3 linked regions of the Caenorhabditis elegans genome follow. The protein of the gene in region 2 interacts with the protein of the main gene of each other region in a pairwise test. Each region holds a gene or a part of one and is shown on either strand. Other genes may lie near its edges.

Evidence for each region.
Region 1: the proteins of mtx-2 (region 2) and nhr-79 interact in a two-hybrid assay, tested with the Caenorhabditis elegans proteins (one large-scale study listed by BioGRID).
Region 3: the proteins of mtx-2 (region 2) and trak-1 interact in a two-hybrid assay, tested with the Caenorhabditis elegans proteins (one large-scale study listed by BioGRID).

Annotation. Positions count from the first base shown.
Region 1 is NC_003283.11:19,207,812-19,215,551, forward strand, and holds the start of nhr-79 (Nuclear hormone receptor family member nhr-79), read right to left. Parts: upstream 4,085-7,740; 5' UTR 4,078-4,084; coding exon 4,003-4,077; intron 3,848-4,002; coding exon 3,757-3,847; intron 3,709-3,756; coding exon 3,643-3,708; intron 2,957-3,642; coding exon 2,846-2,956; intron 2,802-2,845; coding exon 2,592-2,801; intron 2,077-2,591; coding exon 1,931-2,076; intron 1,423-1,930; coding exon 1,291-1,422; intron 1,098-1,290; coding exon 1,033-1,097; intron 793-1,032; coding exon 664-792; intron 613-663; coding exon 497-612; intron 258-496; exon of another isoform or gene 204-257; intron 190-203; coding exon 1-189. Other genes in the region: srr-2 (Gustatory receptor), read right to left, coding at 5,874-6,119, 6,388-6,499, 6,546-6,615, 6,663-6,741, 7,496-7,667. UniProt on the Caenorhabditis elegans protein: Orphan nuclear receptor.
Region 2 is NC_003281.10:7,759,712-7,767,451, forward strand, and holds mtx-2 (Metaxin-2 homolog), read right to left. Parts: upstream 3,893-7,740; coding exon 3,793-3,892; intron 3,746-3,792; coding exon 3,626-3,745; intron 3,577-3,625; coding exon 3,407-3,576; intron 2,812-3,406; coding exon 2,659-2,811; intron 2,609-2,658; coding exon 2,369-2,608; 3' UTR 2,266-2,368; downstream 1-2,265. Other genes in the region: Putative serine protease pcp-1, read left to right, coding at 1-32, 77-234, 282-783, 917-1,006, 1,129-1,489; Putative ATP-dependent RNA helicase ZK686.2, read right to left, coding at 4,122-4,284, 4,332-4,900, 5,029-5,452, 5,501-5,854, 5,922-6,067, 6,159-6,233, 6,288-6,338; Putative zinc finger protein ZK686.5, read right to left, coding at 6,770-7,111, 7,158-7,381, 7,426-7,504, 7,552-7,651, 7,697-7,740. UniProt on the Caenorhabditis elegans protein: Involved in transport of proteins into the mitochondrion.
Region 3 is NC_003279.8:6,119,746-6,127,485, reverse strand, and holds trak-1 (HAP1 N-terminal domain-containing protein), read right to left. Parts: upstream 4,365-7,740; 5' UTR 4,337-4,364; coding exon 4,241-4,336; intron 4,074-4,240; coding exon 4,000-4,073; intron 3,841-3,999; coding exon 3,715-3,840; intron 3,540-3,714; coding exon 3,480-3,539; intron 3,149-3,479; coding exon 2,929-3,148; intron 2,879-2,928; coding exon 2,707-2,878; intron 2,659-2,706; coding exon 2,480-2,658; intron 2,434-2,479; coding exon 2,263-2,433; intron 2,217-2,262; coding exon 2,096-2,216; intron 2,042-2,095; coding exon 1,893-2,041; intron 1,842-1,892; coding exon 1,767-1,841; intron 1,583-1,766; coding exon 1,442-1,582; intron 1,077-1,441; coding exon 954-1,076; 3' UTR 627-953; downstream 1-626.

The sequences.
Region 1 (7,740 bases), on a different chromosome or scaffold from region 2:
TCTCTATATATGACGTCACCATTTCGTGAACCTCGGCCATTGCGATCCCCACTGCCAGTACAATTTCCGATGCACGGATAAGTGCGCTGTCATGACCCTCGTCATCACAAATTAGTAGAAGAGTTCGGAAAATGTCATCTCGTTGTCTGGAGCATATTTGCTTGCCGGTACACTGTAGTTTGTAGTAGTCTGGAATAGGGGGTGTTAGGCTTAGGCTTAGGCTTAGGTTTAGGCTTAGGCTTAGGTTTAGGCCTAGGCTTAGGCTTAGGCTTATTCTCAGGGTTAGGCTTAAGCGCAGGCTTAGGCTTATGTTTAGGCTTTAGCTTAGGCTTAGGTTTTGATTTAGGTTTAGGCTTAAGTTTAAACTTAAGTGTAGGCTTAGGCTTACGCTTAGGCTTAGGTTTAAGCGAAGGCTAAAGCTTATAATTGGGAGTAGATTCAAGCTTAGGCTTAGGCTTAGACTTTAGCTTAGGCCTAGGCTTAGGCTTGAACTCACTATAGTGCCAGATAGTCAGAGCTTTGAACAATGAAAACTCGGCCAGCGACATGTCCAGTTTTTTCATCGGTTCACAAACATGAAGCCACTGCCGGACCTTCATCGAAGTGAGCATTCTGCAAAAAATGGAGCTTGATATGCAGAGCTTGACGGGGTTTTTCACCGACTTGAACCTATCGTAATCCTCATCCGAATGGAAATTCCCGCTGTCCCTTTGATTTTCGACCTTCGGCATTGGATTCATTGGAAGGTACTCGCCATTTGCGGTGACTAGCACATCTTCTGTCGGGAAGATTCTGGAAGTAGTAGGGTTTTTTTAAGTATTAAATTTGAACTACGGTCATTCCAATGCTAAACTAGATTAAACATCAGATACAAGTTAAATTTTTTTTGGAAAAAAAAAATTCGAAATTTAAAAAAATCCAAATTTTTTGAAAAGTTTCATTATTTTTTGAAAAGTTTCATTGGTCAGTTTAGTATCCTAAGAGTAGTTTTTTTGGCCATTAGTCCTGCCCGGATTCCATTTTTACACATACACTTGACTATAATAGGATTGGTCCAAAAGCACGTCGACTGCGGCGGCGGTTCGAAATAGGACGGTCTGGAAGGAAATTTGAAGTTTTGGACAGTTTTAGCTAAGAAAAACGGGTTAAGGACTTAAAAATACAGTAGAAAATGTTTTTTTTTTCTAATTTTGAATCGGTTTATCGGGGTATAGCACTTTGGTGAAAATTAGAAATTGGACGAAAAAAAATTTTTTTTTGAAATTTTTTTCCAAAAAAAAAAGTTCCCACCTTCTCCGACTTGGACAAACTCTCGAATTCTGGAAATCGATTGATATAATCTAAAATCATTGTATAATCATTCCGATTCTTCTGCCGATAGGTCCGATGGTCGAATAGTTTCAGATCAGCTTTGTCGTACGGCTGAAAAAACGAAAAATTGGAAAACTTTCAGATTAAGCTTCTGAAGCTCGTATTTTGAGAGATTTTCAAACAGAAACATCAACAATTTTTAATTAAAAAATTTATTTACTAAAATCTCAATTTTTCAAAAAAAAAAAATTTTTTTTTGAATTTTTCAAAAAAAAAATTGTTCTGAAACACTACAAAATTACACTTATTCGAACCCAAATTTTATTCCAAATTTGAAAACCAGCATATGAAAAGTGCCAACAGAAACCTGACAGGGTTACTGTAGTTTTTTTTGCAGCTGGACTAACACAGTGATCCGAAATTTCAAGTTTATCAGAAATATGTCATGATTATACGAAAAATGACTGGGATTATGTGCTGAATTCAAAAAATATGAGTTCATACAGCCTAAAAAACTAGTTTTCGGAAAATTTGCAATTTTTAAAATGTTCGAAAAAAAAAATTTTTTTTTTGAAATTTTGAAAAAAACAAATTCCTTAAAAAATACTCAAAAACTCACACAAACACACGGAGCATCGAAAACTGATCCTAAAAGCCTGTCGGTATATGTTATCCGCCTACGCATATTCAAATTAATCACTTGCTCCGTGTAAAGACCGGCCAATCCGAATAACCTCTCTTCTTCCTCCATTCCAGTGACGTAGGCTGAAAATTTCGAAGGGTTTTAGTGCTGGAAATGCTTCGAAACATAAAATTTTGAATTTTTCATGATTTTCCGGATAATTTGAGTATATTTTTGGAATATTTCTTATTAAAAAATTTTTTCGAAAACAATTTTTTTTCCAAAATTTCAAAAAAAAATGTTTTTCGAAAGTTTCAAAAATTATAAATTTCCTGAAAACTAGTTTATAGGTTGTCTGAATCTAATATTCCTCAAATTCAGCACTAAATTCCGGTTAATTTAAGTATAATCATGACATATTTCCGATAACTTCGAAATTCTTCCCAGATACAAAACCTACCGTAACTTTGTTAGTTGTGTAGGAAAAATTTAAATATGCACATTTTTAAGCTCAGGATAAAATTTGAGTTTAGATAAGTCTAATTAAAAAATTTTTCTTGAAAAATTCATTTTTTGAAAAAAAAAAATTTGTCCAAAACTGAAAAAAAATTATTTTTTATTTTTTCAAAATCTTCTTTCTAACAAATTTAAAATTCACCAGAAGCTTCTGATATCGACGTCATTCTCGATCGAATCTCATCAGAATCCGTAAAAATATCCGGAAAATCGTCGACACCGGCGGGAATTTGAATAAATTGCTGGAGCTCATCGATTCCCATCAGATTTTCACTCATTTTCCGTATTTTTGGTGACGATGGGTACGGATCCATTTCGTTTTCCGATGCTTGCCATGGGAATTGATCGAAATCTGGAAATTTAGCTCTGAATTGGTGGAAAACTCTCGAAACTTACAATTTGAAGGTCCTGGCTGTTCAGGTGGCGGAGAGAAAAAATCTTCGGATTGTGAAGAATTTCTCGAGTTTTTTCCTTTATCAGATTTGATTTCTCGTTTTGCTTGAACCACTGAAAAAAAAATCAGAGCTCTAGGAGCATTTTGAGGAAAGTTATAGAAGTTTGAAATTAGGGCAGTGCGTTGCGGTCGCGTCGCGGTCGGGCTATTTATATTAACTTTAATATGTGAAGCATTGCATTGCAAAACTAGAGTTTGAATTTCAGGCCTGGACGATCATTTTGAACAAAGTTATGGAGGTTTGAAAATTAGGTGGTGCGTCGCGGTCGCGTCGCGGATGGGAGGAGAATTTCAAGTCGTCATAACTAAGCTCAAAATGATGCTAAGGCTCTGAAATTTTTTATATTCTATGTAAAATTGGCCAATGTCCAATTCGCAAAGACTTCGGGGGTCGGCGCATTTTTCGTGTCTTGGCGCATTTTTCGTGAGTTGACGCATTTTTGGTGCATTTAAAAATCATAATGCAAATGTTCTCCAACGTCCACAAATAAATTTTCAAGCCTAACGGACAATTTTGAGCAAAGTTACAAAGTAGTGAAGTTTGGACAGGGCGTTGCGGTCGCATCGCGGTCGCTTAACAAACTTCAAAACGTTGTAACTTTGTTAAAAATGATGCTAGAGACTTGAAATTTGAGCTGTAGCTTCTTTATTCAATTTTCAAGGTCTTGACGCAATTCTAGTGCCTTGACGCAATTCTAGTGCACTGGCGCAATCATGGTGCATCGACAAATCAACTCACAATCCCTCATCATTCCTGCTTTTTGGCATTTTTTAAGTCGACAATGCCTGCAATTGAGGCGGAGAGCTTAAATTTTCAGGTTTTAATTTTTTTGGGGGGAGAAATTTGGCTCACTGTGGTCAATTTTGCAGGAATGTACCCCATCTCCGAGACACTCGTAGCACTGATCCATGGCAATACTTCTACGGAAAAACGCAGCACAAGCCTGGAAATATTGGGTCTCGAAAGGTGAAAATATTTCAATAATTTTTCAATATTTTTTTTGAAAATTTGGAAAATTTTTTTTTTTTTTTTGTTGAAAATTTTTAAATGTGTATTTTAAATATATTAACCTAATTTCCCAACATTTTGAGCACTTACCTTGCAGGATTGTGCTCCAAAATGGTAGTTTGTAGCATTCGGGGAGTCACACACCATACACTTCCCACGCACCATTTTTATGCTAAAAATCGATAAATCAAGGAAAATTGCGGGGGAAAAATGATGAAAATAATAGGAAAATAATACTAGAATCATAAAAAAAAATCAATTTGCAAAAAAATTTTTTTTGAAATTTTGAAATTTTTCAGAGAAAAATTAAATTTTTTTTTGAAAAATTATTTTTTTAAATAAATTTTTTATTGAAGAATAATAATAAAAACCTATTTTTATTTCAAAAAAAAAACTCAAAACCCCCATAATTGATCAAAAATCAATGGATAACAGCAGAAAAAAAACAGAAAAAACAGAATAGAGGAGATTTAGAGAAAAAGGGGATAAAAGCGCACATGCAGGTGCTGTTTTTATGTGCTCTAAAGGCTGGAAATGTGAGCAAATTGTGTAAAATTATGTTAGAAAAAGTTAATTTGAGATTAGGAATTTTTCAAAAAAAAATTTTCAAAAAAAATTTTTTTGGTTTCAAAGTTTTCTAAAAAATTTAAAGTCATAATAATATTAATTCACACTAAAATTTTTTCACAAATTTGCATCACCTTCTTTAAAAGTACATATATAATAAACACACCACCACCGCCACTAACACACGCTCCCCAAGCTATTGATCAATAGACTACAGATAAGGAGAAAGAAGAACAACGTGATGGCCATCACCGTATCAATGTATTCTATTTTGATCGGGTCGCCCTGTGAAGACAACAGAAACTACAAAAAGTACAAATTGAGCGGCTGCACGGAAAAAGCGTCAAGGCACGAGAAGTGCGCCAGGGCGCCAAACTCTTGTCAAAGGTAGAAACTATTGGTTTTATCTTACAGTTAAAATTTCTGATTTCTAGGATAATTTTGAGCAAAGTTATGACGTTTTAAATTTTCGGGAGCAACCGCGACGCGACCGCAACGCAACCTTAAAATTTCAAATGGCCGTAACTTTGTTTAAAGTTGTCTTAGAACTCTAAAGTTTTTATGAAATAACATTTAGTACAACGCATTTAACAATTTGCACTAACGCACTGAAAGAGCGCCAACTCACGAGAAATGCGCCAACGCACGAGAAATGCGCCAAGGTCCAAAACCAAAAATTTCAAATATATAGATAAATATTTTGACCAAAAGGCCACTGTTCAAACTTCAACTCTCTAGGACCGTTTTAAGGTGAGTTATGCCACTTTGAATTTGAGAGCAGCCGCGACGCGACCGCAACGCACTATAAAACTTAAAATGGTCATAACTATGTTCAAAATTGTCTTAGAGTTTTGAAATTTTTTATGACGACTATTTATTCGAAATTCAATAAAATAGTTATAGTTGGCGCATTTCTCGTGTCTTTGCGCGTTTTCCGTGCGTTGGCGCAATTCTCGTGCAATTATTTATAATGGGTAAAATGTAGAAAAAATGTGTGTTTGAAGAAGTTTTTGATCAGATTATACATCAAAGAAGCCATAAACCTCCCACATTCTCATTGATAGTTGATGAAAAAGTTCTTTGATATTGGCGGAAATATGCACTTTGATAACGGGAGTGGTTAGATATGTAGAGTATTTTCAGGTACCAAAACTACCCTAACTTTGTTCATATTGCTCCAAAAACTACGAAACGCAATTTTTTGAAATCTGGATGAAAATTTACATCGATAAAATTTTAAAAATCAAAATTTTAGAAAGACAATTTCCAAAAATTCGAGTTTTCAAAAAAAAAAATTTTTTTTTAAATTTTTTTTTCGAAAATTTTCAAATCTTTTAATACAACTGTAGATACTTTTTAAAACATATTTAAGCAATTTTTACATCAACTTTTTATTAATTCACAACTGGAAGTCTATCCAAAATATTATAAAACACGGTCATAAGCAACACAATATTAGTTATAACAAAATAAGCTCTCTCAATATTTTTCCGATTCACACTGAAAATTTGGACAACTAGGTTGACTGTGCGATTATTGATTGATCGATCCACCATACTGCGGTAGGTAGTGTAGATTTGTGGATCTTTGGAATGATGGACATACTGGTCGTCCATAAGGACTGTGGAGGTGTGGAGCATCTGGAAATTGATTTATTTCAAAAAATTCTACTAGTTTTGGTTTTAGAAATCAAAATATTTACTAATTTTGAAAAAAAATTCCAAAAAAAATTGTTCAAAAAAAATATTTTCGAAAATTTTCAAAATCTTAAAAAAATTTTTTTTTCTAAAAGTTCACACCTTTTAGTTCATCAAATTTAAAATTTTACGCAGATTCCAAAAAAATGCATATCATAGCTCCCAGAGCCATATAAACTGAGTTACGGAAGTTTTGTTAGTGAACACTTACCGCTTCTTGAACCAAAGCTGGTGGATACATCAAATTAGAAGAAATTATAATGCAACAAATCATTAATCCAATCATACAAATGTAGTAGTATGTGTCTATTAAGGAGCCCAAACTGAAAAAAAACTAGATTTTCAGATAATTTCGCCTTTAAAACTCACTTTGTGAAAATAAAAGTTACATTAGCCAGAGCAGTCAATATTAAAAACGGAGCAGAACTCATGAAAGGCACTGAAATTTCAATGAATTATTGATTTTTCTGGAAAATTCCAACTTACTAAGCCGGGTGGTTAGTGCATTTGTGTATTCGAACATTTTGATCTGACGGTCGGCAAATGTTTGGAAAATTGCAGGGTTCTGGAAACAAGAGTTTACTGCAGAAAATTTTGTGAATAGAAAATTTTGTGAATAGGGTAAAAAAATTCGAGACTCCACGACAATTTTGAGCAAAGTTATAACAGTTTAAAGTTTACAGAGTGCAACACGGTCGCGTCGCGTTTGAACTCTTAAGCTCCTTTCCAAAATAAATCACCTGATTGAGAATAAATGAAATACTTCACACAAAAAATTTCAGAGCCCTAGGAGCATTTTTAACAAAGTTACAACTATTCAAAGTTTGGGCCATGCGACGCGGTCGCGTCGCGGTCAGACCAGAAACTTCAAACGGCCACAACTTGGCTTAAAATGATCGTGAAGCTTTGAAACTTTCACAATTTTCCATGCATTGCACTATTTAGTAAATCTCACAAAATTAAATTGCTGGCGCATTTCTCGTGCCTTGGCGCATTTTCGGTGCAAATACTAAATCCACATTTTTCCGTGTTAAAATAATCATCATGTAGCATTAAGCTGTCAAATAAAAATTCAGGCCTCAAAAATAATTTTGAGCCAAGTTACGATCCCTTAAAATTTTCAACGTGCGTTGCGGTCGCGTCGCGGCCCCTCTTGAAACTTCAAACAGACATAACTTTGCTCAAGATGACTCTAACGACTTGAAATTTTCACATCATGATATTTTAGTATTTTTTGTCAAATTTTCAAATTTTTCAAGCCTTTTGACTACTGGCGCATTTCTCGTGCCTTGGCGCATTTCTGGTGCAATTTCACTTACCAACAATTCCTTATTCTTCGATGCACCTTCCAATTCCTCATTGAAAACATGGAATTCTCTAGCAATTGCATTTTGTATTAATGCATGAATTGGCAGGAAAAGAAAGTTCACGTATGCACAAAGAGCCATGACTCCTGCGTCGAAAAAGTAGTACCAGTTGTTGTGAGTTGTGCTGGAAATTCATTTTATTATAGGAGAAGCTAAGTTCAATACGTGCAAAAAATTTCAGAGCTCTACGATAGCTA
Region 2 (7,740 bases):
TTTAGACAGAAGTATCCACATATTGTTAAAGGGTGAGTTGATATCTACAATTGATGGTATTGCTTTAATTTTTCAGAGCTTGGGCAGGATCTGCTCCATTGATTTACATGAACGGAGGTGGTGTTGATCCAGGAGCTTTCGACCATATCACTTCAAGAACTTACATTGACAATGGATGCAATAGGTTTATTCTTGCAAATGCCTGGAATGCTACCCTTAATCTTTCTAGCACTGGTATAAAAAGGAGAAAAATTCGATTGACTGGTACAATTATTTTCCAGATGCTGGTAGACAATGGCTCAACAACAACACCGTGTTCAAACTAGACCCAAGAACTAAAATTAGGAATCAAACAGATGGTTGGAATTTGAATGCGTATTTGAGAGAAGCAATTGAATATATGGCAATGGTTGATTATCCATATCCAACTGGATTCCTAGAACCTCTTCCAGCATGGCCAGTGACAGTTGCATGTGGATATATGAATGCTAATGGAACATCGTTCAGTGATAAAGATTTAGTCAAAGCTGTTGCAAATGCTGCTAATATTTATTACAACTATAACAGAGATCCTAATTTCACATATTGTATTGATTTTTCAATTTGTGGAGATCAAGGAACTGGTGGTCTTGGAGGAGACGAATTGGGATGGCCATGGCAAGAATGTTCAGAGATTATAATGGCAATGTGTGCTAGTGGAGGATCTAATGATGTTTTCTGGAATGAATGTGGAAAGGATATCTACCAAACATTGCAACAAGGATGTGTTTCTATTTTTAAAAGGTTCCAGATTTAAAGATCCTAGGTTTCTTTTTTGAGGCATTTTCCGACTAGGTTTTAATAATATTGAAGCTTTGAAAACATTCATACAGCATATTCTTCAACTCTTTTAAAAATCAAAACAAATAAATTTCAGCATGGGATGGACACCAAAGAACTGGAACATCGACGCAGTGAAAACTCTCTACGGATATGATCTTTCTGGTTCAAGTAACTTGATTTTGACGTAAGGTTTTTTTCACGAAAACTTTTGTTGAAGTTATGGTTTTGAAAACAGAAAAATACTGTTTCTTGCAAATTGTTAGATCATGTTTTTAAAATTGTTTGTTTTTTTTTTTTAATTTTCAGTCAAGGACACCTGGATCCATGGTCCGGAGGTGGCTACAAAGTTGATCAAAACAATGCTGCTCGTGGAATCTATGTATTGGAAATTCCTGGATCTGCTCATCATCTCGATCTCCGTCAACCAAACACCTGTGATCCAAATACAGTTACCAATGCCAGATTCCAAATCATTCAAATCTTGAAGTGCTGGGTCGATCCAAATTGCAACACAATCCCAACAATAAGTCCACTTCCAAGTATTTCCATTCCAAATGGTGATTGTAAAGATGTTGTTGGAGGATATCCATGGGGACAGACGACTGGTGCAACTGTCTCAAACTCTTTTATTCTTGCTATTTTGGCTTCATTGTATGCTATGTTCTAATCAATGTCCCTGTCAATATTTATTTCATTTCTATGAAAACTAATGGAAATAAAGAATCTTTGAAAATGATGAATACGATGCTTATAGGTGTTTGTTCTACCTAGGCATTAATGAAAATATTAAAGGAAAATAGTAAAAAATTCTAAAAAAACATACAAATCGCAAAAAAAAAGTCGATGGGTGTTGTTTCTTTCAATATACATTCTGTATTCGATTATTTTTGCGTTTTTTTCAAATATGAGAAATTTTTCAAACTTGATTTTTCTTGATTTTTCAGGAATAGATTTAGTAATCTATTTATTATGCAAGAAATACTAAATAATTAAAAGATCACCCTCACTAATACAATATTTAAGCTGATTATCAATACAAATGTTGTCTTAATACAACATTTTCTTTCACACTTGTCGATTGATTTCGGTATACTTATGACGCGGTTTCATACATCACTAACAACTTAAAACTCACTAGCTATTACAGTGTGAACATATAGGAGAAGACGGCAATGGCAAAAGTCAAGATAAATAACTTGAAGCTATACAGAGAAACTGTCAAAAGAACAATTATGCCAGCTTGTCAAATGTACAAAAAGAGCCAGAAGTGATGACAACGACATCTATAAACATTGCAACCACAAGAATCATAACCGTAAATTCGAGCTCCACAGAATATAACTATTTTTCTAGTTTTCTTTCATTGGATCTTATATTGAAGCTTTGAAATATTCATGTTTCAAGTTAAAAAAAATTATCGCGTAACTCTAAAAAGTTGTTAAACATATATTATCAAAATTTATTCGTTTTTCTTAAGAACAATCTGAACACACCATAAAATCATAGTTGAACTACTATACACTTCTCAAACGAAAAAATTCTAAAATTACTGCTTGAAATACTGTTGTTCGATTCTTTTCGTGAATTCAATCAAATTGGAGTACTTCTTCAGAATATTTGTGATGTTTGTCAATGGCAATCTGACAGTTATCAATGTGTACATATGTCCAAAGAGTAAAGCATCAGCTTCGGTTGGAAGATCTCCAGTTAGATATTTTTGACTTCCCAGTTGAGCAGAGAGAGCACGGAAAACTTTATCGGCTTGTTCACCGACTTCGTCCATTGTCTGAAAGAAAGGAGTTTTAAGGGAAATTCAAAAATAACCTATTTACATACCTTGGTGTCCCAGTCCTTATCAGACAACTCTTCAAGAATCTTTCGACGCTTAACAAAAGGCAAGACAGACGAAAGTGGCCAGTGATAAACACTTCCGTATCTCAACTTTGTCACCTTATCGTACGTCTCGTCGTGGTTCCAGAGTACAAACTTCTGAAAAAATTCAATTAAAAGTTAAACAGCTATATTAATTTCAATTTATTTCATTTTTAATAGATAATCAAAAACCGAAAATGTTTGATTGTTTCGGAAAAAATCCTAAAAAAATTAGGAAACAGTTTCTAAATTTTTACCAACGTTAGTTTTAACAATAAAATAATTTAACAAAATTCTGAAAATAAGAAAAATAATCGAAATTTCAAGATATATTTCGAGCGGCAATTGTTTTGGGCAAATTTCTATCATTTTTTTAAATTAAAATTTGTATAAAAATATAGAAATTAACATTAATTTTGTCTGAATCATTTGAGAAAGTTCTCGGAAATACCCTGAAAGTTGTCAATTGCCGATTTTGAAGCATTGTTTTTTCTTTGTCCGTCAACTTTTATTCAATTTTTGAGAACATTTTCAAATGTTTCAGCCGAAATGAATAATATTTTCAGATTTTCTATTTTTTGACAGTAATATTCTTTTAGAAAAATAATGGAACCACGTGGCACAATCAGGGATGGGACTTATTTGGTTTTTTTTTTGTTTTTAGTATTTTGACGATAATTGTCTAATATATAAATTTTTCATTGAATATTACCTCGACAGTGGTAAGAAGATGTTCGATCATCGAAATATTAGCTCTCATGTCGGCAACTTGCGTTTCGCTGAGATGTGATGTAAGAGTGACTCCTTTCTTATGCACGAAGTCGACAATGGCGTTGAACCCTGTGATGAGAGTTTTGTTGATTTTCAGAAGTGGGACGACTCCTTAAAATTATATCTGCATTCGAGGATTTCAGTACTTTCAATATCTAACCATCAGGAGAAATAAAATCTACATTCGGTCGTTGACGAACATTGAATGGCAATGAAGTCATTCGAAGGAATGTTTGAACGGCGAGGCAATCAGCAAAATCGTACATGAGAGCTTGGTCATCTGGAAATATTATATAATTTCGCAAAAAAAACACCAAGGCTGCTCACTGAGATAAGGTGTGAAGAGAGATACATCTTCCCAATCCTGAGCTGCATTCATCGACAAGGCATCAGTGACCAATTGGGTTATCACCCCGGAGCTGCTCATCTGAAAAAGAGCAAAAAAGCGTATAATTGATTATTTAGAATTTCCAAAGTATTAAGAAGGTTGTCTAGACCACTCCGTAAAAAATTGAAAAAAAAGTATTGAAAACTTATATTTAAAAAATGAATATTCATGAAAATAAACAACTGTAATTCTTTAAAAAACCAACAATGAAAAAATTGAGTTCAACAATAAAAATAACAAGAAAAAAAGGAAATCAACAAAAATAGAATCACTCGGTCGTCTTCTTTTTGAGCCAAGGCTTCTCTCCGCGAGCATTTGGTCGACTTTTTCTCTTTGCTTCAAATCCGGATCGTTTAGCAATTTGTCTGCTTCCTCCGGTTTTCGCTTGTGACGAGACAGTTGCTTTGAGACTTTCCAAAGCTTTTGAGTATCTGAAAAATGTTGATGATGATTTCAGGTTTAATTTTTAATTTTTTACCTATCCATATCTTTTTCAAAAATGTACTCTTCCATTTGCTCTTCTACAGTATCTCCCCATAAATTTGTAACTTTTAGCATTTTGACGAAAAGTCTCTTTGATTCCTTATCTCCAACACTAATCACATATCCATCTTGTCCAGCTCTTCCAGTTCTTCCTGCTCTGTGCACGAATAGTTTGTCATCGGCAGGCAAATTGTAGTTGATGACACAATCAACCTTGTTCAAATCAGTTCCTCTTGCCAACACGTCCGAGCAGATCAGAACTCGGTTTTCATTTTTATTGAATTTTTCGAGCATTTTGTAACGTCGTTTTCCGAATAACTGAGCCGTGAAATAGTCTACCTCAAACTGATCCTTGCACAATTCTTTAAGAACGTGCGCGAGCCGATTTGATGATGAAACTTCATTGACGAAGATCAAAGTCCTGTTGAATTTATTTCTAGTGATTTGTTGATAAACTGCTAGCGGATGGAACTTTGGATCCGTTACAACGAGGCGATGAGAGATTGAAGAAGGAAGGGCAAGTCTACCAGATACATGATCAACTTGAGGGATTCCAGATGTGATCTGAAAATTGTAAAAAGTAAAATAAACGAAAATATTTTGCATGACGATTTAAAAAAAACGAATTTGGTTCGGTTGAAAATATCAAAATGAATTCTGATGTACTTTTTATAATTTTTAAAAACACTCACATCCTTTACAGAAACTGCTGTTGCTGAAAATAATCTCGGTTTGAACAAATTCCATAGATGAAGCTCTTCCACATCTTTCGATAGTGTTGCAGACAGAACAATTTTCTGAGGAGCTCTTCTTTGTCTAATAATATCTTTTAAACAAGCCACTCGTTCCATTCCACCGCATAAGAATTCTACTAAATCCAACCATTCTTCTCTCATAAGCTTTCCCATTCGATCCGCTTCATCCACAATCAAGAATCTTAATTTTGAAAGGTCAATCGGAGGTGGAATTTTTGAAGTGAGGTGTTGCACAAGTCTCGCTGGAGTTGCCACGATAACATTAGGAGGATCTGATGCCAATTGACGAGCTTCTTTCTCAAAATCGTTTGCTCCACTAAGTGATACTACTTTTGCAACACCACTTTCGTCATTCCATCGTCTTAAAATCAGAATTAAAACATACATTTTAATGTTACTTAATACATACTTGAACTCGTCCACAATTTGTGCAACAAGTGTTTGAACTGGTACTAAAATAACAGCTTGTAGAATTTTGGATGGTTTGCTCCCGACAGCCGCCAGAACTGGGAGCACATAGCAAATTGTCTTTCCACTTCCAGTTGGAGCTGCGATCGCCACGTCACGTGGACGTAGTGGTGGTGGTGATCGGATTTCAAAGAAAAGAGATGGAAGAACGGCATACTGAACTGGAAACCATGTTGAAATTGCAGATGGGACTGTGAGATGCTCAGGAAGCTCAATTTGAGAAAGTTTTTGTGATGTTGAAGAATCGATTGTCGCTGAGAAAGTAGTGGCGTTTTGAACCCAGGAACTCGTTACTCTGCAAATCATCAATTTAGTTACAATTGAATTATTCTATTCAAAATATTTAATTAAATTATTCTCACTTTAGTGCCTCCAAATTCTTCATTTCTTGTTTTCCGAGCACTTTAAATATTTCTCGTTCACCATTTTGCGCAGTTTCTTCAATTTCAACTTCGCCAGAATCTTCTACGTCTTCTGTTTCCATAGGCTCTGCCACATCATTGCCAACCTTCAAAAATTCAAAAAGTCAAAAATTAAACAGGATTTTTTATAAAATTCGCTTTCAATTTCGCCAAGAAAACAAATTGATTAAAACTCACTGATTCATCATCCTCATTTCCGTTTGTTACTCTATTCATTTCTTGTTCAATTCCGTCTCCGTTTGCTGGCTCAATCTGAATATTTAATACAAATAAGTCAAATGTAAACTTTTTGTAAAATGAAAATACCTCATCATCGTTTTCCGTGTCGCTGTCTTCTTTTTGGTTTTTTCTTTTCATTATCTGGAGAAATTAAAATATGAACCAAAAAATGCGTTGAAAAAATAAGGACAGCGGAGAAAAATTAATATATAATAATAAGAACAGCGGAGAAAAATTGGTGTGCATTTACGATAAACAGCGCGCGTTGCGGGATTTCGGAGCGTTGCTATTTTTGCTCGCGATCGATTTTTAGAAAAAAAATTTAATTTATTCAATTGCATTCGTTCGAATATATTATACAAATAATAAATTCCATCGAATTCAATTGTTTTTAATAAATTAATTTTGCATTGTATTGTTTACTTAACTGTCAGTTGTTCAATGGGTTGTGTCTACTGCAGATATCAGAACAAATTTAAAGATATAATTCGAGTTTATTGAATAAAAAACGTATTAGAGTCTGCATAGGTCACAAAAAATTTTACACGAAATAAAAATAATCTACGAGTTCATGCCAATACTGCTTGGTTATCTCCGGAACCATGTGATACATCCCAGTGGGTTCTCAACGATTGCTTGTCCTTGAATTGTCTATCACAGAGCTCACATTGAACATAAATTTTAGCGTTCGGTCCGTAATGAGTTTTCATGTGCCGATTAAATTGAATTGTTTGAGAGAAGAGCTTCATGCATAGATGGCATTCGATATATGGAGTATTGTGAACTTTTCCGCGATGAAGAAGCAACATTTTAGAACTCGAGAAATTCTGCTCACAGAGCTCACAGTAGGTTGTTACAATTGTTTCTGTCACTTTCCGCTTCATCGCCTTCTCTCGATCCTGCTTCTCGTTCTAAAATACAATTTTTAATTTTTTTTTAATTTCAAAATTCACTCACATCAATGCCACAATTTGTTCGAACAATTCCTAAATCCATAAATAATTTTTTCTTAATATTTCTGATCTCTTCTGTATTTTTCCGTTTTCGGTCCTTGTAAGAATATGGTTTTCGAGTACTTGTATTATCTACATTTTTTCGTTTCTTGGCTGCAATATAGGATGATGCACTAGGAAATGATGACGAAGTAGAGCTGCGTACAAATATTCCAGCTACTGCCGCTGCTGAAAAATTTTGAAAATACTTTAAAAAAACTCCTAGACAATACCATTATCACCATCAAATTTCCGATCTGGTTGGATTATTGTGAAATCTGGCATTTCGGGAGCTTTTTCAACTGGGAATTCCTAAAATATTTTTAGGTTCAACGTATCTCCGATGAACAGAAAGAAACCTGGAAACAAGAGCATCCTACAGATTCATGGCTCATTAGTTCACAAAGCTCTTTTGTTGCTTTTAGAGTTTCACGATTCAACAAATATTCATTGTATATGCTGAAAATTCATTTCTCAACCAATCTGAAATCAGATTAAACTCACTGAAGTTTCTTTATATCATCCACAATTTCTATATCCAGATCGGT
Region 3 (7,740 bases), on a different chromosome or scaffold from region 2:
TGTCAGAGATGGTGGGAAAGACATAACAAAAAGAAATGAATTAGAGTCGTCTCTCTTCGGTTTTTGTCATTTACAAAATGAGAAGACATCAATTGGGATTAGGTTACTAATGGAATAAATGACACATACAATGGCTTTATGCCGAAAAAATTAGGAAAAAGTATGTTTACCACAACAAAAAAAACATTAAGTTCAAACTTGGGCGTTGTACCTGAAAAAGGAAGTTACATATATCTTTTATATATATTCCTGAAGTCAAGCCTCAAAAATGTCAGTGAAAGCTGGTGAATATATTTTTTCATATGGGCAGACTGTATATCTTCAAATTTTATTCAACTGCGCTCCAGCGGTTGCCAAAATGTTTTGGTTTGGCAAGGTTTGGTTTTAATTGTTAATACCGCATGCAAATAGTCTGGGATTTGAAAATATCTCATAATGTATGAAAAAAGTGACAGATGTTTCCTGAAAAACTATCCAAAATTTGATAACTTTGGCGTTTTCGAAAAATTCCAGCAATTTTGATGGTTCACAATGTTTTTTTGACAAACGTCGCGTTTGCTGATTTTAAGAAATTATAGCGTTTTTTTTTCTTATTCTCCTTCTTAAACTGATTACCACCTTTCGCCATTTTTCATTGAGAAATTCGAAATTTATTAACGATACATAATTTCAATACAATTTAAATTCCAAAAAAGTCAAACATTTGGCTTAAAAGCAAAAACCGGTTTACACACATTTCAAGACACTAAATTTCTAGCTGTTTAAAACAAATAAAAACAAAAAAAATCAAGTTAAAAGCTCTAATTTCTTAAGTATTTTTCAAATAAGTATTAGTGAAATTTCAATTCAAAAATTAGGTGGAGTGGGGGTAGAACAAATCGAATCATTTTAAAAAATGTACATGTATTCAGAAATTGAGAGGAAACATTTGTTAAAGTAAAAGCCATTTTCCTTTATCTTCTTGATAAAACACCGTGGATTGCACCAATTTTCGTGAGACCACCGTCAGATGTTCCAGGTGATAATGAGAGTGATAAACTTCGATGTTGAGGTGATGTTGATGGAGACGTGAGAAGCTGGAATTTACAATTGTTTAAAAAATGTTACTAAGAGGGGCGGGCAAGTATTTTGGTTGGATAGAAAGAACATAATTCTAGAGGTCAAAAATATAGTCCAAAATAAACCTAGTAAAGAAATATTTCCAATTTTAAATGAATGTCTGTAATAGAGATGTGCGGCTTTTGGAAAATTCGACTAATACCAAGTGCCAAACAATTGGCAAAATGTCAGTGTTAGTTAATTTCTAACTGTCAATTAAACTAGTGATTCCGTTCCTTTGGTTTGTCTATAGTATTCCTTTTTATGCATGAATTAATCAAAAGTTTTCTTTACTAATTGTAAGTAATAAATGCCAAATTTTTAAACTTAATTCATATCTTACCTCTGCTCTCGTCAACACTCCTTGTCTGAGACCCAATGCTAATGACTGTTCGGCATGTCTTGGTTTCAGACTCTGAATCATTCTGACTCCGTATGCAGCACTGAAATCCATCCATGATGTTTCATTTGATTGACGACGGTCCTGTAATGAGAGAGTTTGGTTAGATAAGCACTTCAATCAATATTTTAATAAAAACTGTTAACATGACAGGGCAGCTACCGAAAAGTTAATGTACTTGAGGGGAGGTTTGGACTTCCAATAATCAAAACTTTGTTTCAAACCTCCCTCATTTGATAATTGATAGAAAAGGAAAGAAGTAGACTACCTGAGAACCGAAAAACTGTTGCTGATCGATACCTTTCCGCTGACAAAACGCCGCAAACTCTTTTTGCACCTGAAACTAACATATCCGATTAGAGTTAGTATAAAGCTCGGTTAAAGTGCAAATCACCTCTTCCCTAGCCTTGATTACTTTCAAGGAGATATCCAGATCACGAGTTCCAGGCATTCCCGGTTGTCCTAGTTTTGACTCTGCGTAAGACGATGCGTCATAAATAGTTGTAGATGGAACATCGAAACTTTGAGCATGTGGACGATTACCTGAAAATAGACATGACTAATGTCAATCGACGCAAAATAAGAAAATTTACTCACCTATATGCAACCGTTGTAACTTGCTCAAATTGCTCTTACTCGGGCTGCTACACGGGATATACTTTCGTGCCACAATCGGTGTGGACACGGCTTCTTCGCTGGGGAAGCTAAGTTGGTTGGTCTAAAAAAAAATTTTTTGAAAATTTTTTTTGCCTAATAAGTTTTACCTCAGCATAATGTGCGTTAATGCCAGAGACCGAAGGAGTTGTGACATCGTCGTCCTGTATCGTTGGAGTAGAATCACGATAGATATCTGTGCATGAAGTGCTCGCATCACAGAGAGCCGCCAGTTTTGATGAGGTAGCAAAGATAGGCTCTGCGATCGAGGGAATTTGATACTGGAAGAATATATTATTATTCGAGTTGTGTAAGTCGAAATTGTACCTTTTCTGAGTGTTCAATCTCAGCTGCCAAGCTCATTGGACCACCTGCATCAATTCCACTATCATTTGCATAGCTATCTCTCCCCGTAAGAACTGTCAATTGTGTTGTGCGACCCGCTGGTGAAAACTCGGAGTTTTCCATTTCAGACGCAAGGGAGTCATAGAGAGAGTCATAAGACACTGAAAAATTTGAAGAATTCAGTCAAGTTGATGTTGTATAAATCTTACTTCTTAAGTTCCCGGTACTTCTGAGCTTATTCAACTCGGATTCAGTTTCCGCAAAATTAGCCATGAGCTCCGCGTATTGATCCTGCATCTCTTTGTGCTCAGCTTGCATTGTGTCATGTCTTTGGATCATCTCAATGAGTATCGCACCCATTTCTTCTTTTTCCATTGAGATCTGCAATAAAAAATCGTTTCTTGCAGCTCGCAAAGCATCTAAGAACCTACCATTCTTTCTTTCTTATCCTTATCCGCCAGTTCATTCATCAGCTTTCCAGTGTTCTCATATTGTTGATTGAGTTCTGTTGTTTTTTGTTCAATCAACTTTTGCAAGCTGATCACTTTGTCATTTGTGTAATCCAACTGTTTTTCTAGCAGGTATGAACTATTCTTCTGAGCAGTGACTATAGCGGATTCTTGCCGGAGAAGATCACATTCTTGGCGAAGTCTTAAATTGTGAATATGTGAAATTTTGGTCAGAGCACGTTCCTAGCATATGGATGTGCTTCAGAACATAAGTGAGCCTGCAAGCGGCAAGAGCGTGAAGTGAGAGTGTGAAAAAAAAAAGAACATAGGATTTTCAGTTGAGCAATCACCAAAAACCCAAAGTTATTCGTGGCAACGGAGCTTGAGAGGCTCTGAGAGCAATAATGATGGCATTATCAGGATCTTTGTTTTTTAGACTATCAATCGTTCCCCTTATCCAAAAACTGCACAATTTTGAACTCGATCGCCCACCCACTATCAATTACGCTGGCTTATTTGATTATTTGACAAACCTCTCGTTTTCCGATTTTGTGGATTTAAGCCGTTCTCGGAGTGCCTCGTCGCTGTTTGACCTGCAATTGAGTTTTTTTAACTTTGAAAAACGAAGAAGCAAGAGAACAAGATTTTGATCTCCACGCCACGCTTGATATAAATTTAGTAAGTTGTTTATTCCACAACGAATATTAACACAATGACCAACTGTGATTCGGCTCTTTCTTGTCGAAAAGTTTTAAACAAAAATCTTACCTTGGTAAACCATCATCATCTAAATGTGAGTAGACCCTGAGTAGCTCAATTCGTTGATTAAGCTCATGTTTCAGTTGAACAATTGTGTCCAGGTTCTTGTTGACACTCTCCTCGAGGAACTCATTTCTGAAAACATTGATTTTTAGAGCTTATTTTTAGAACAAGGAAATAGTCCCTATTTTCTAGAACTTTTATTCGCATACTAATCCTATCTTCCCTCCACTCGTCATTAAAACAAGTGTAATTGATACTTGAACTCGGTGGGCTTAATTAGAAAACACTCACTTTGTCTGAAGATCTTTGTTCTGCTCCAACAACGATTGGCCAATCTTAGCCGCAAGCTCAAGATCGTGATTTTTCTGAAAAAAACATGTTTTAATAGTTGAAGATCATGAATTCAATACTAAAAAATAAAATCGAAAACATTTTATATTTCTTTGTTTCACAATGTTTACTCTACAATTTTTACCATTCGATTTTTTCGATTACTAAAATAAGTTTGAAATAAGAACAAGTTAAGGCATACCTTTTCTAAAATAACCATGAGACCATTGCAGTCGAGCTCGTTGAGAGCACACGACGGATCAAGTGGAGAGGAGTTTCGAGTTGGAGTTGGGCTCATTCGGCTGACAGCCCAAACATTCGAAAATCTGGAAAATAAAAACTATTAGACTGAAAGGATTCAAGATAAAATGGTTATCAAATTTGATCTATGGAAAACGAAAAATCAAGGGGGAGAACCTCAAGAAAAAACGATAAAAGCGGACGGGCGGCACTAGTGAAAGAGAATTAGAGAAAAAATGGGAGGAAAGGAAAGGTATACTCATTGTTTCTTTTTCAAACTGTTTGACTGTGAGAGAAAGAATGTATGTTTGTACTTTTAGTACCGTTAAGTGAAAAGGTATCGAGGAAAAGAGAGAGGAAACGAACATGTGTTTGATTATAATTTTAATAGTCGTTTGGAAGAAAAACAACGGTATATAAAGAAGACTTTCATGCGTTTAATTCTATTCATTCCCAGAGCCAGGCCTGTGCGGCTTTTCGCAATTTTCGACATATGCCAAATATCGCACAGAGTGTTTCCAACCCACCGAGAATATCCGAGAAAATAGAGAACTTTGCCACTATCATAAAATGAGAAGATTGCATTTTCAAATTAATACCGTATTTATCTTGGCTCATTTTGTGTAGATCAAAAATAATTAACTACAACCCTATATATGGTACAACGGTTTTTTTCTAATTTTCAGGTAAAATTTTTTGATATAACAAAACATGTTCACTGCCAAAGTGGTGCAACTTACTTTGTCGAAAATTCAGGGTTTTTCATATTTTTGTATTTTCACGATAAAAAATACAACAAAAATGAAAAAAGAAGAAAACACCTCGTCAGCATAGCTTTCTTTACTAATCCTTATAAATCCGAATAGCTTTTGAATGAAAATGGGAAGATGAGACAGACATTGTGACTAAGAAGCAGGAGTGGGTGAATGATGCGGAAACGTTCTGTTCGGGCTACGGGAATTTCTGGTTATCGTTTCAGATAAATTCTTTGATTTGATGCTCGAAACTTAGAAATTTAGCGGCTTTCCTATACATATTCCTAAGCACACAAACAAACGCACACGAATATATTATATTCAAATCAAAAGAGGGGGATAGGTGTCGGTTTGTCGTGGTTGAGGAAGGGAGGTGCTCAAGTTTAGCTAAACAAATCCTCAAGCCATATGACAGCTTGCGAAAAGGAGCATGAGAAGGTCAGGTGCGAAAATCGTAATGTTAAAGGTTGTCCTTCTAGCCTCACCCTCTGTCAAAGGATGGATGTGGCCGCCTGGTGACGTCACTCTTCTTCCTGGGAGTCAACCATGATGGGACACGCTCCAAAATCGTAATAAACTACAACAACTTCTCACCATGAAACGGTAAGACGTGCGAATGGTTAAACAATGTGTAGCGACAGGAAATTGGAAGACATGGGGGTAGTATGGGTAAACATGTATTGTTGGTAGTCACTTATTTGCGGTATCTTTTATGTATTTTAGGGTTTTCAAAAAGGCGGGCTTTGAAAAACGGAACACATGGGTGTGAAAACTAATGCTCAAGGTTAACAAAAAACTACACGTAACATTTCGTTTTTCGGTTTTGCAACAAATGGATGTAGGTTTATCCACAAGACTTCAAAGTAAGATGGTCATATTTGGAATCGTATTTTTAGAGTGGATTATCAGAGAAATTTAAACGACAAAATACCTATCCCTTAAATTTTTAATTGAACTTTACTTATTTTAATCACCACAGAATTACCCCGACAATGGATTTTTGCAGACTCTTCATAACTGAAATGTTGCTCAGAGAAGTGCAAAATTTTTGAAATCTTTTTTGAATAAAACTGATAGAACATTTTTCACACAACACAGTCCAAACAATTCTGATTTTTTTTCCGAGAAAATATCAATTCCCAAAAAGTGTTATAAAAAACATTTCTGGCTCCTAAAAACAACATTCACTGAAAAATTTTGAGATTAAAAATTCTGGAGGTAGGTGTTGGGTTTCGCAGTTTCCTGTGATAACCTACATAAACTAAAAAAGAGTTCTAGTATAATAAGACATGTCTCGTTTTAAAGTCTGATAGTAAAATGACTATTTTCATTATTAGAATTATTAGATTTACTCCCTAGTTTCTGAACTTGTTGCGGTTATAAGGTCACATGGCTTTACATCAGAAAAGGTAAGAAACAAAAAAAGAGACAGAAAAACGTTCCGCAACAAAATCGAAAATTAGTAGTTAGTCGCCCACTTTAATCTGGTCTCATCATGTGGCAGTGAAGAAGAATGGAAATCAGAAATAATGGGTCAAATTAGCAACAGTTTTGGAAGATGGAGGAGAGAAGAAAACAATAATGGGGAAGAATGACGTCAACTTCAAAGGAGCTTCTCTGGGTGTATCGATCGCTTATGAGCCTTTTTTGTTTTTGAAAGTAAAACATTGCAATTGCAAATAAATTGCTTAATTTCTGATGGAAGAGACACGTTAGAGGCTATGACACTGATAAGGTGAACACTACAAACAAATTGGATGATATTTAGAGGGGGTGTCACTTGAGGCGCGTCGAGCTGGAAAATTTGGCGACCTAGATGATAAAGAAAACGATTTGAAGGAAACTCACAATTGCTCCAAAACGTCCATGGAAAATCAGTACTTAGCACCACGTAGAAATATTATTAGTATTACTCACAATGAATTGAACTAAAATTTCGAAAAAAAAATTGGTTTGTGCGGGTTGAATGTTGAGTCAGCATAACATTTTGTAGTTAGATAAGGATCCGTTATTAGAAATTAGATTACTCCTAATTGTAAGCAACCATTTGACATTTTTCAGCTTCTCTTGTCCAAAGGAAAAAAAAATCACAAGGCGTGGAGCACAGCATATTGTTGGAGAGCTCTTTCTGTTTGCTCTCGATTTCTGCGCCTTTTCTTTTTTTTTGATTAACTACAAAAAATAAATTGAAAAGCATTCCTCCCACCGGCAGGCAGACAAAACACGTTGTTGTCTGGTGAATGAGCATTGTATTCGGCGAAAATACAAAAAATTGGAGAAAAATTAGAAATTTTGGTCATCAATGTAGCTACTTTGCTACGTGGTCGCGAACAAAAATTGGTGGCCGAACTTCCCAATTTTTAATTTTTTTTTAAATTAAAAAATTCAATGTTCCTAGTTGAAGGCAATGTTATGAGAAACAGAAAAAACAATTTGTTCTGGAAAATAGAGGAAAGGTTTGATAAAAAGGCATCGGGTGACAACTGGCAGGCTTTTTTCTTTCTCTTTTATAAAAGAGATCTTTTCTGCAAAAAGGAGCTCCGAGGTCAAATGTGAAGAGGAATTTGATATGAACAGCTGAACAGATTATCAGCGAGAATTTTTTCGAAAAAATAATTGTCTTATTTGAAATTGTTTTTTAAATCAATTTTCTCAATACTTTTGTTTTCAGCATCTTCATTTCTAATCTGACGTAGATAATCACAAG